3 linked regions of the Caenorhabditis elegans genome follow. The protein of the gene in region 3 purifies or fractionates together with the protein of the main gene of each other region. This does not show direct contact. Each region holds a gene or a part of one and is shown on either strand. Other genes may lie near its edges. The genes, in order: tin-10, Y32H12A.7 and tin-13.

What was found.
Region 1: the proteins of tin-13 (region 3) and tin-10 fractionate together in Caenorhabditis elegans (co-fractionation; one large-scale study listed by BioGRID). This does not show direct contact.
Region 2: the proteins of tin-13 (region 3) and Y32H12A.7 fractionate together in Caenorhabditis elegans (co-fractionation; one large-scale study listed by BioGRID). This does not show direct contact.

What each region holds. Positions count from the first base shown.
Region 1 is NC_003281.10:11,501,223-11,504,978, forward strand, and holds the start of tin-10 (Mitochondrial import inner membrane translocase subunit Tim10), read right to left. Parts: upstream 1,629-3,756; 5' UTR 1,613-1,628; coding exon 1,571-1,612; intron 1,002-1,570; coding exon 909-1,001; intron 1-908. Other genes in the region: TM2 domain-containing protein Y66D12A.21, read right to left, coding at 1,808-1,859, 2,576-2,717, 2,780-2,894, 3,699-3,756. UniProt on the Caenorhabditis elegans protein: Mitochondrial intermembrane chaperone that participates in the import and insertion of multi-pass transmembrane proteins into the mitochondrial inner membrane.
Region 2 is NC_003281.10:5,383,791-5,387,546, forward strand, and holds the start of Y32H12A.7 (ABC1 atypical kinase-like domain-containing protein), read right to left. Parts: upstream 1,617-3,756; 5' UTR 1,614-1,616; coding exon 1,431-1,613; intron 1,262-1,430; coding exon 1,167-1,261; intron 982-1,166; coding exon 792-981; intron 743-791; coding exon 161-742; intron 1-160. Other genes in the region: Y32H12A.8 (WDR59/RTC1-like RING zinc finger domain-containing protein), read right to left, coding at 2,048-2,116, 2,259-2,897, 3,054-3,404, 3,557-3,756.
Region 3 is NC_003279.8:8,758,574-8,761,812, reverse strand, and holds tin-13 (Mitochondrial import inner membrane translocase subunit tim-13), read left to right. Parts: upstream 1-2,024; 5' UTR 2,025-2,033; coding exon 2,034-2,150; intron 2,151-2,306; coding exon 2,307-2,516; 3' UTR 2,517-2,607; downstream 2,608-3,239. Other genes in the region: DY3.8 (SWEET sugar transporter), read left to right, coding at 2,818-3,093, 3,141-3,239. UniProt on the Caenorhabditis elegans protein: Mitochondrial intermembrane chaperone that participates in the import and insertion of some multi-pass transmembrane proteins into the mitochondrial inner membrane.

The sequences.
Region 1 (3,756 bases), on a different chromosome or scaffold from region 3:
TTCCGGAAAATTGCGTACAAAAATAAAAAAAAATCGCCAGTTTTGTTCAATTTTTGATTTTTTTTTCCCGATTTTTCGTATAAATCGGAGAAAAAATCGGTTTTTTAACAAAAAAATTTTTTTTTTAATTTTTCAACCATTTTTTAGATCTTTAGGTCAGAAATGTTCTTTTGCTTTCAATTTTTAGGGTTTTAAAAAAAATTGTTGTGAAAATTGGGTCCAAAAATTCAAAATCTCAGTGGTTTTAGAATGGAAAATGTTTATTTTTGAAATGTGAATTTTTTCAAATTTTTTAAACTTTTTCAAATGAAAAAATCAGTGATTTTTCCACTTTTTGAGCTAATTTTTTATGGTGTTCGAAAAAACTCCAAGCATACGGCTTCTCCCTGGAAATTGAGAAAATTTTTGGTTTTTTTCCGAAAAAAAGTGCCGAAAAACTCAATTTTCGGAATTTTCAGAGAAAATTTGTGATTTTTCTCCGGAAAATTGGGTTCAAAAATGAAAAAATCGCAAGTTTTTTTTTGGCAAAAAATAGAAAAAATCGATTTTTCAACAAAAAAGCTTTTTTTTCAATTTTTTGTGAAAATTGGGTCCAAAAATTTAAATTTTGATTTTTTAAGAATTTGTTTTTTGGAAAATTTCAGTGGTTTTAGAATGGAAAATGTTTTTTTTTTTGAAAAAAAAAATCAGCGATTTTCGGCTTTTTCAGCTAATTTTTCACGGTTTTCGATTTAAAAAAAATCGATTTTTTTCACATTTTTCAACTTAAAGACTATAAAAAGAGTACGAATCATAATTTTCCAGTTTTTTTTTTTTGAATAAATTTCATTTTTCTCATTGAAAATTCGCTTTATATTCTTTTTTTTCAGTTTTTTTTCTCATAAAAATCGATATTTTTCCAATTTTACCTTTGTCAATTCGGACTCTCTGAAGGCGGTGGCAATGCACTTTGCCTGACACGAATTGGTCATTCGGCGGTACATATCCGACATCATTTCCACCTGAAAAATCAAGTTTTTTTTTGGATTTTGTGTGGTTTTTCCCTTAAAAAATCATTTTTCTAAAAAAATCATTTTTCTATAAAAATTCAATTTTTCTGGGATTTTCCCCAAAAAATTCAATTTTTTTCGGAATTTTTTTCATTAAAAATTCGAGATTTCTGGAATTTTACATCTAAAAATAATTTATTTTCAAGTTTTCGATTTTCCCCAAAAAATTCAATTTTTCTCGGATTTTTCCTTAAAAAATTTATTTTTCTGTAATTCTCCTCTGAAAATCAAAATTTCTGGAATTTTCCACATAAAAATCCAATTTTCCTGTAATTTTATTTTTCAAAATCAATTTTTTCTGGAATTTTCCTCTAAAAACCCTTTTTTTTTAAGTTTTCCTCTAAAAATCACTTTTTCTGAAATTTGTGTATAAAAATTCGATTTTTCTGGAATAATCCACTGAAAAATTCAAATTTTCTAAACTTTTTTGGTTTCTTTCTTTAAAAATTCAATTTTTCTGAAATTCTCCACCTAAAAATCAATTTTCTGGAATTTTTCTTCAAAAAATTCCAAAAATTCACCTCAAGCTCCGCAACTTGTGCCATTTGTGCGTCCGTCGCCATTTTTTTTCGTCGATTTCTGTAGGGGAAAAATATACATTTTAATTAAAAAATCAACAAAAAAAAAGTTTTCAGGTACAAAAACTGGGTGAAAACCAGTGAAAAAAACAGTACAAATACAAAAATTCAAAAAGAAAATGTACAGGAATGTTCATTTAGTGTGCAATATTGACAAGAAAAAGTGAAAAAAAAAGAAAATTACAGACATCCATCGCAGGTGTAGAACGAGAAGTTGGTGTGACTGTCGAACGTGAAAAAAATAAAAATTTGAAAGAATTTTTGAAAAAAAAAGTGAATTTCAATTGATTTCCGGTGGTTTTTCAATTTTTTCTCTCGATTTTTCGATTTTCTCCGAAAAAAAAAAAGAAAAATGGAAATTTTTCGACCTAAATATTGTAGAAGGCCAGGAAATTTGAAATTTTGCATTTTTATTTTTTTAAAAAATCAAATTCCACTCAAAAATCAATTTTACTGGATTTTGGTACTGAAAATTCGAATTTTCCACTAAAAATATATAATCTTCTGGAATTTTCCACATATAAATCATTTTTATTCAATTTTTCTGAAATTTTCATTTAAAAAATCTTTTTTATTTAATTTTTCCCTAAAAATTCAATTTTACTGCAATTTTCATTTAAAAAATCTTTTTTATTTAATTTTTCCCCTAAAAATTCAATTTTACTGGATTTTGTTACTGAAAATTCGAATTTTCCACTAAAAATATATAATTTTCTGGAATTTTCCACATAGAAATCATTTTTATTCAATTTTTCTGAAATTTTCATCTAAAAAATCATTTTTTATTTAATTTTTCCCTTAAAAAATTCAATTTTACTGCAATTTCTCGTTAAAAAAATTTTTCCGCTAAAAATTCAATTTTACTCCAAAAAAATTTCTTTTAAAACTTTTTTTTCAACTATAATTTCCAAGATTTTCCAATTTTTTTTCCAAATTGTTGCTACTAATCTTATCATTTGGGCCTTCGGGCCATAATAAGCCATAGCGTAGGCCGTACCATCGGCCGGGCCCAGTAATTGTAGGCTTATAAGAATGATATCGACAAGCCAAAACACAAAGAGACCGCCAAGTGAGAACATTTTGATGAGACCTGCAACGAAAAATTCGATTTTTTTTATAATTTTCAAAAATTCAGTAGAAAATTCTGCCTACCTAACGCATAATACCCGAGATAAATCCGATCAATTCCAAAAAATCCGAGAAAAATCGATAAAAGTACTGTTGTGGTGTAGCTGACATGGGCTCCGTAATGACAAGCGCTGGGGACCTGAAAAATGCAAAATTTTGGTGAAAAATTGAAGAAAAATGCAGAAATTAGGGTTTTTTGGTCGAGAAAACCGACTGAAAATGTGCAATTTTTGGTTCTAAACTGGAAAAAAATCATTGAAAATGTGCAATTTTTGAACTAAAAACTTGAAAAATTACTAGAAAATGGTGATTTTTTGGTGCGAAAATTGAAATTTTTTTATTTTCTAGTGGAAATTTGAAAAAATCGGCTGAAAATTTGCAATTTTTGCACAAAAAATCAGGAAAAATCATTGAAAATGTGCAACGTTTAGCAAAAAAAAATTGGAAATTTGTGCAATTTCGGGCACAAAACTGGAGAAATCACTGAAAATTTTGCGATTTTTGGCCCAAAAAATTGGAAAATTACTAGAAAATGGTGATTTTTTGGCCGAAAAATTTGAAAAATCACAAAAAAAAAAGATTGGAAAACCACTGAAAATGCGATTTTTGTGCTTTTATTACAAATTTTTCAGAAAAAATAACAAATTACAGAACATTTTCAATTTTTTAATTGAAAAATTGAAGTTTTTGGTGATATTTTCCAATTTTCCGATGAAATTCGTAGTTTTTTGTTGGAAATTTAGCGAAAACTTCCTTTTCTGACTTAAATTTGTTTTTTTTTTTCAACAAATTTGTCAAATTTTTGATTACTTTTATGGAAAAAAGCATCAATTTTTGTGATTTTTCGATTAAAAAATTGGAAAAACGAGATAAAATTGATTTTCCGCCTCAAATTCTCGTTTTTTTCAGCAGATTTTCACTTTTCAGGCCAAAAAATGCGTACAGTTCGATTAAAAATTCCGAATTGATCCTTTCCAACGCATTTTATGTGCTCCGCCGTC
Region 2 (3,756 bases), on a different chromosome or scaffold from region 3:
AATTTTTTTATTGGCAAAATTCTAATTAATTTTTTATTTTTAAATTTACGCAATAAAAATTTGAAAAAAAAAAGTTTTTTTGCAAAATGAATTTTTTAGAGTGGAAGTTTATTTTGGAAAATTATTTCATATTTTTTCTACCAAATCTCCAATTTCTAACCTCTGGCTGTCCTTCCTCTGCAACCAATCGATTAATATAAATTCCTTCTTCAAATGTTTCCACAATTACATTTTTAGTATATCCAAGCACAATTGGAAACTTAATTCCAGTTTCTTTTGAACTAAAATTGTCTGAAAACTTCTTCAAAGCCTTCGCCTCATTTCTCAAGTCAACTTGTCGCCGAAGTACCATTTCAAATTGTTCAAGTGCTCCAGTTGGATCCAAATACCAAAGAGCCGGTACAATATGTTGCATTAACCATGCTCCACTTCTCAGAATTGAAAGATCCAATTCAATTTGCTTATCAACATCTTTATCAGCCACTTTAATAGCAATCCGTTGTGTTGTACGTCCTTTAAGCTCTGGGTATTCCTTTCCAGTAGCCTTCTCAAGTTCAGAGATATCTACAGTACCTCGATATACTTGTGCAATACATCCTGAGCCAATTGAAAATGGTTCAATCTCGAGAAATACTTGTTTTCCATGCAATTTCATAAATCCTTTTCCAAATACTTCATTCATTACTTTTTTCTTATCACGGAAGAATCTCTTGTTTTTAGTTTGAATATGAAGCACGGAGAGCTGAAATTGAAAATACAAATTGAAGATGATTAGAAAATCAAAATCTCACCCGATCACAAAACTTTTTTGTGAAGATGTCCCTTCGTGTACTTGCCCATTGTCCTAATTTAATAAAAGTTGGTCCAGAATGTTGAAGAGACCACAGAAGATATCTCCACCAAAGATTCTCGAATGCTTCTATTTTTGTCAGAGGATAAGTGAGAAGAATTGGAGAAAATCGAAGGAATAAGCTAATGCATCTGTAATTATTTTATTTTCTTTTTTTCCAGGAAATCATATTTTAGCATTTTTATTTTCAGATCAGAGATATAAAAAGTTGCCTTTTGGAATATTTGTACAATTAAAAATTGAAATTTATTTTTTTTCATTGTAACTCCAAATTAAAAAAAAATTGCAAGACAATTTTTTTCAGAAAATTGCTCACCTGAACATTTTCCTTATTGCTTTATAAGTGACAACGATCAATGTAATCGGTAGAGTTATTATGCCCATCATCGTTGATTTTTCCACTACGACTTTCTAAAAATCTTGATATTTTATGGGATTTTTTTCTTCGAAAAATTAAAAACTTATGCAAAAAAATTGGATGTGAAGAATAAAATTCTAGAGTTTTTGCGTAATTGAAAGTTTTAAAATCATTTATAAAATTTTGAAAGTTTGAATATTTAACTTTAAAATTCGATCTTACTTTCTGTGGAACAAGAAGCCATGGATCTTGATGCTCTGCTTCACATTTTAATGTCCGTAACCTTGTTAAAGACACAGCTCCACCCATTCCGAGCACAATTCCTAATTTAAAATTTCTAGAGCTCACGGCTCTGCTGTGAGCCCAGCACCTGTACAAAATTAACCTCGTCGACCCGAATATCATGTCTCTGGAAATATGAAAATATTGGAAATTCTGAAAAAAGTTTACAGAAGAAGATAAAATTCAGGATTCTAGAACCAGTTTTCAAATTAAAAGGATGACCCGAAAAAAATATCATAAAACAATCTTATATCACATAAAATCCAATCAGAACAAACAAATAATTTAACATAATTTTTGAGAAAAAAAAAATAGAAAGGCAATTTGATGGGCGCAAATCGATTCAAATATATATATACAAAATTATCACATATTGAAAATATACCTTATAATCACTAGCGATTGAAAGAATTTCAAAATTTTGAAAAAAATAATGGGAGAACAATTGAGGGGAATACGAAATACATTGGAAAAATGGCTATAAAAATGAGATAAAGATAACAAAAAATTTAACAAAAAATATATATATAAAACAAGAAGAAAACTGTATATCCTTCCTAGAACCACTTGCGTCCGTTAGTTTGCGCATCTTTTGGATCGTATTTTTTCGGCGGTTTGTACATTTTCTGAAAAAAAAAGATTTATTTTTAAAAAATTTCTTTGAATTTTATCTTGGGTCTGAAAATGTAGAACTGCTAGAAAACATTAAAGCTCATTTGTTATAGATATTTCAAACATTTAGAACTTTCAGAAACTATTTTTCCATACCTTTCCCTTCAAAATACGATTAATATGCTTCGGCTTCATTCTATTTGCTGGTGGAATCTTTCGTATTCTCGTCTGCATTTTCAAATCACCCCATGACCAGTGTGCTGTATCAGAATTTTCAACAATTAATTCATTGATATGTTTCAATAAATCTTTCTTTTTTGCCGGAAGCTTCGCCTCAATCTTAAATTTGTCAAGATCCGCAATTCCTTCCAACATCTCGTTGATTTTTCGTCGAACCTTCCACTTTTTTGCTCCAATTGCTCGTTTTTCCAGAGCAAATGTTTCTTCTGGATTTACAGGTTTCGATCGGAGTTTTAAAAGCATCAGCTCTCTTTGTGCCTTGTTCATTGCTCGGCGAGCTCGTTTTCCTTTTTTCGAGCTGTTCAAAGACTCAGTTGATCCACCAAGAGACGAAGATGAATCCGATCGAACTTCTGAACCAGAATCCGAATCAGAACCCGAATTATGCATATTCAGGAATCTAGACATTGATTTTGGATCTTTCGGTGTCTGTCGTCTAATTTCTTCAAATGTCTCTTTTCGTTCCTTCCATTCTTTTGGATGAACTTCCGAATCAACTAATTCCGCAAATGTTATCAATTTGGAATCATACAGGAACATGTTGGTTTCTAGCGGCTGAAAATTGTTGAAAATAGTACTTTTTAAATTCCAAATTAAAATAAAAGATCTGCATTTTTTTGATCGTGGAACGAAATTCAGATTTTTGTTTTTAAAAAAGTGATCTAAAAAAAATTTTGGGAAGACTTTTCTTTTGAACTTCTTGCCACTAACCATGAAATAAGTTCCCCGAACTTTAGTGATCATCATATCAAGCAATGGACGCTGCTTTGCATGTAAAGTAAGCAAATGTTGGAATCTTTTCCGTCCTCTCTCAAAATCAGCCAAATGTGGTGCAAAACGGAAAATTGCCTTCTGAGCCATTTTATACATTAATACAGCCATAAATCTGCGTCTATGGAAATCTGATCCCTCGTGCATACTTCTGAGCCATTCAATTTCTTCTTCACAATCCTCCATTTCAAGATATTTCGCGTTTGGAGCCGCCGGTTGAACTATATCTGTATTTCTGAGTACTGGAGACTTGTCATCATCGTTCTCCTCGTCTTCTTCAGTCAGAGAAATCTGAAACACAGAAAATTATATTTAAAAAATCAAGAACAAAATATTTCTTCTAAAAATCGAACAAAACCCGTCGCTTTCCAAATTGAGATGTTTTCAAAAAAAAGCAGACATTTTTAAATTTTAAAACAATTTTTGTTAAAAGAAAAACCAACATTTTCCGTGTAGTCATAACCACCAAAATAATTCGTAGTAAAATATGGAATCTTTCCAGTCGCCAACTGAATCAATGTATCCTTCACAACTTGCTTCTGATCCTCTGCCAGATGAGCTGAAATATTGATTTTTAAGGAGAAACTGAGAAATTTACTATAATACTGAATCGAATACCCATTTGTAAATTTAAAAAATGCAT
Region 3 (3,239 bases):
CTCGGCGATTAACAATAAACATGTACCATTGAAAGACATATTCAGAGCCAGATGAAGGAAGCGAGAAATCATAAGCAGTCTTGTGTGAGAGAAGACAATGTCGTTCTTCTTTGGTGTTTGACACAGAATGAATGAATTCTAGAGAAGGAGGCTGAGAAGAGAAGGAAACAACATCTGGAAAGAGCACTAGAGCGTCGACGCACAGAGACAAAGGGCAATAAATCAATGGGAGAGTGTCATTTTGGCGCGTTGACAGTTTTTATCTCATTTGATGTGACCATGTGGTAGAATATTAGTATAGCACGAAAATTAGAAGCTAAATTTCTATTATGAAGGCGAGATTAGCCGCGAGAGAGAAGTTTGGTGAAATGAAAAGAATACGAAATGAAAGAGTAGGAAAACAATTTTCTCTAGACACCTGCATCTCTAAAACACATTTGATCCCTAAAAAGATTGAAATGAAAAAACAAGAGAATCGATTAAATGTGAGAGGAACTTGGGCAAAACATGTCTCTTGGTAATATGCAGATTAACAATTGAGTATATAAAATTAGGGCTGTACAACCGGACGTCCGGTCGTCCGAACCGGACGCACATGCGTCCGGTTGGGGGTAGCTATCCACGACGGCCGACAATTTCCGAGTTTCGCCACTCACTATAAAATTGCTGATTAAGTATAGTGAGTGGCGAAAATCGGAAATTGTCGGCCGCCGTGGAAACCTACCCCAAAACCGGACGCAGTGCGTCCGGTTTTTTTTTTTTTTGTGCCGATTTGTACAGCCCTATATAAAATGAAGGATTTGTTAGTGAAAACCGAAATCTACGTGACGCTTTGCATAAATTACAGGACCAGATGCATGTTTCACACATCTCCTTGTGGCCTTGAAAGGATGAGCGAATTTGAATTGAATGGTGGGAAAAGTAGCATAAGAAACCGATCGAATGAAACATTTTTCTGGTCGTATTGAATTACGAGATTATACCAGTTTCGCAACTAGTGTTAATTAGAATTAAACATACTCGTGGACATTAAACGACAAAAAAAAAGTAGATTTCGGATTTAATTTTAAACGCTACGCCGAACAATTCTCTAAAAATGCATGCTCATTCGATAAAACCTTTGGTCTATTTAAGAGATCGGAGACCAAGTGCGACAATTGAAATCGCAAGAGGTTAAAAAGAAACACTGAATTTGAAAATCACAAAGAAAGAAGGCGGCGTAATTAGAGAACGAAAATGGCCTTGAAATAAGTGAACAAGAGGCACCGGAATTATGTGTACTTCCAAAAATTACTTCGAAGATTTCCTAAATCAGTGAAGGTTTTATGAAGAACAGAGAGGATTTGTGAAAGCAGAAGCGTGATAAAAAAATGTGCGGGAAATGTTTTTTTTTTAAGAATCTGATTATTCTCATGAGCGACAATTTAAAACTTTTATCTGAGATTAAAAGAATTATCACGAATTACTCGGGACGAAAAATTTAAGAAAAATAGCTTCAAATTCAAATAACGACCCTTTAAAACAACTATCCATGCGAGACCCAGCTCGTAAATCGACACTTGCGCCTTAACAGAACGGCATCAACTTTTCTTGGATTTTTTGTATTTCTATCTCTTTTTTATCGTTCTAATATTTAATAAAAATATTTCAAATGAATATTAGAAAAAACTACACACCTTTTTTTTTTTAAATAAGTTACCTTCAAAGTTCATCAAGAATCATCGATTGAAAGTGAAAAGTAATTAAATCGGGAAAACATTTTCGTAAATATTTCGACACTCTTCTGACGCATTTTTCTTTCTTCTCACAAAAAAAAAGAAACACGAGAACAAACACGCCCATCTTCCCATACAATTGCATCTCAACTTTCGCGCCAACACAAGTGGACGAGGCCTAGAAAACGCGCCCTGCAGTTTTCTATACCGCGTGAATTAATGCATGTTTATGCTGAAAACTTTTCCTAAACGTTTATTTTTCAAAAATATGTTACTTTGTGAGCATGCCATATGATAGACTATTTATAGGAGAAGAAAATGGATCAGCTGCTTGATGTGGAGACGTTGAAGAAGCTGTCACCAGAACAGCAAGAGCAAGTGATCAGTGGTGTCAAGCAGCAAGCTGCCCTTGCCAATGCCCAGAATCTTGTCACGGTAAGCCAAAGAATTGTGAAAATGATGGAGTGGATGCCGAAATGATAGATTTGGGTCATCTCACACCAATTTTCAAATATCAAATTGAAAAACGACAGTGATGTAATTCTAGTCGGCGTTTAGAATGTAAACGTTGAATAATATTTTTGCTTGCAGGACATTTCTGAAAAGTGCACGAATAAATGCATCACTGCACCAGGAAGCTCATTGGCCAGTGGTGAAAAGCAATGTCTACAGCGATGCATGGATCGTTTCATGGAATCATGGAATCTTGTTTCTCAAACTCTTCAAAAACGTCTTCAAGAAGAAATGGCGTCTTCAGGAGGAATGGGTGGTGGATTCGGACAAGGACCGTCGTTTTCTTAAAAAAATGTTTTCAATTAACACCCATTTTCTGTTATTGTTTTTTTCCATTTTTTTTTCTTCGAATTGTCATTTGTAGGTAGATCAAAAAAAAAATCGAATCTTCTTTTGCTCTATATTGTTATCTAATTGCGGCAAGGAATATCCACCAGAATGGTTTTTTGCGGTAGTTTTTCGTTTTCATTTTCTCCGACTTTTTGGCGTATTCTTTTGTGTTTCGCCACATTTCTCCGGTACTTCTTCTAAATAGTTTTTAAATTTTAAGCTCAGTTTCAAACTACTGACCTGTCTCTTCAATTTCAGAATGATTGGCGCTATCAACGTTGCCGGACTCTTATTTAGTGTTTACTTCTACGCATGGTTACGTCCGGATCTTCAAGCAAATGTTCGCATGGGCTTCTATCGATATAAAGTTGATTTTGCAATATATTTCGGAACTGCTGTCTGGTTATTTTTGGCAATGTGTGTCGTCGCTCCACGTGTCTGCCGACGAACCAATGCGATTGCCGGAAATTGTGGAATGGCCGTTTGCTCGATTATTGTCATTGTAAATCATTATCTGCTGGAGAAAAAATGGGTGGTACGCAAACTTTATTTGTTTCAAATTCAACTATATACATTTTTCAGTGGGGTGGCTTGCTCTATCTCAGCAATATTATGTTCTACGTGCTGTTCATGGGACTCACAGTAATGGGACAATTCTCCAGATATCATTATGATAAGAAT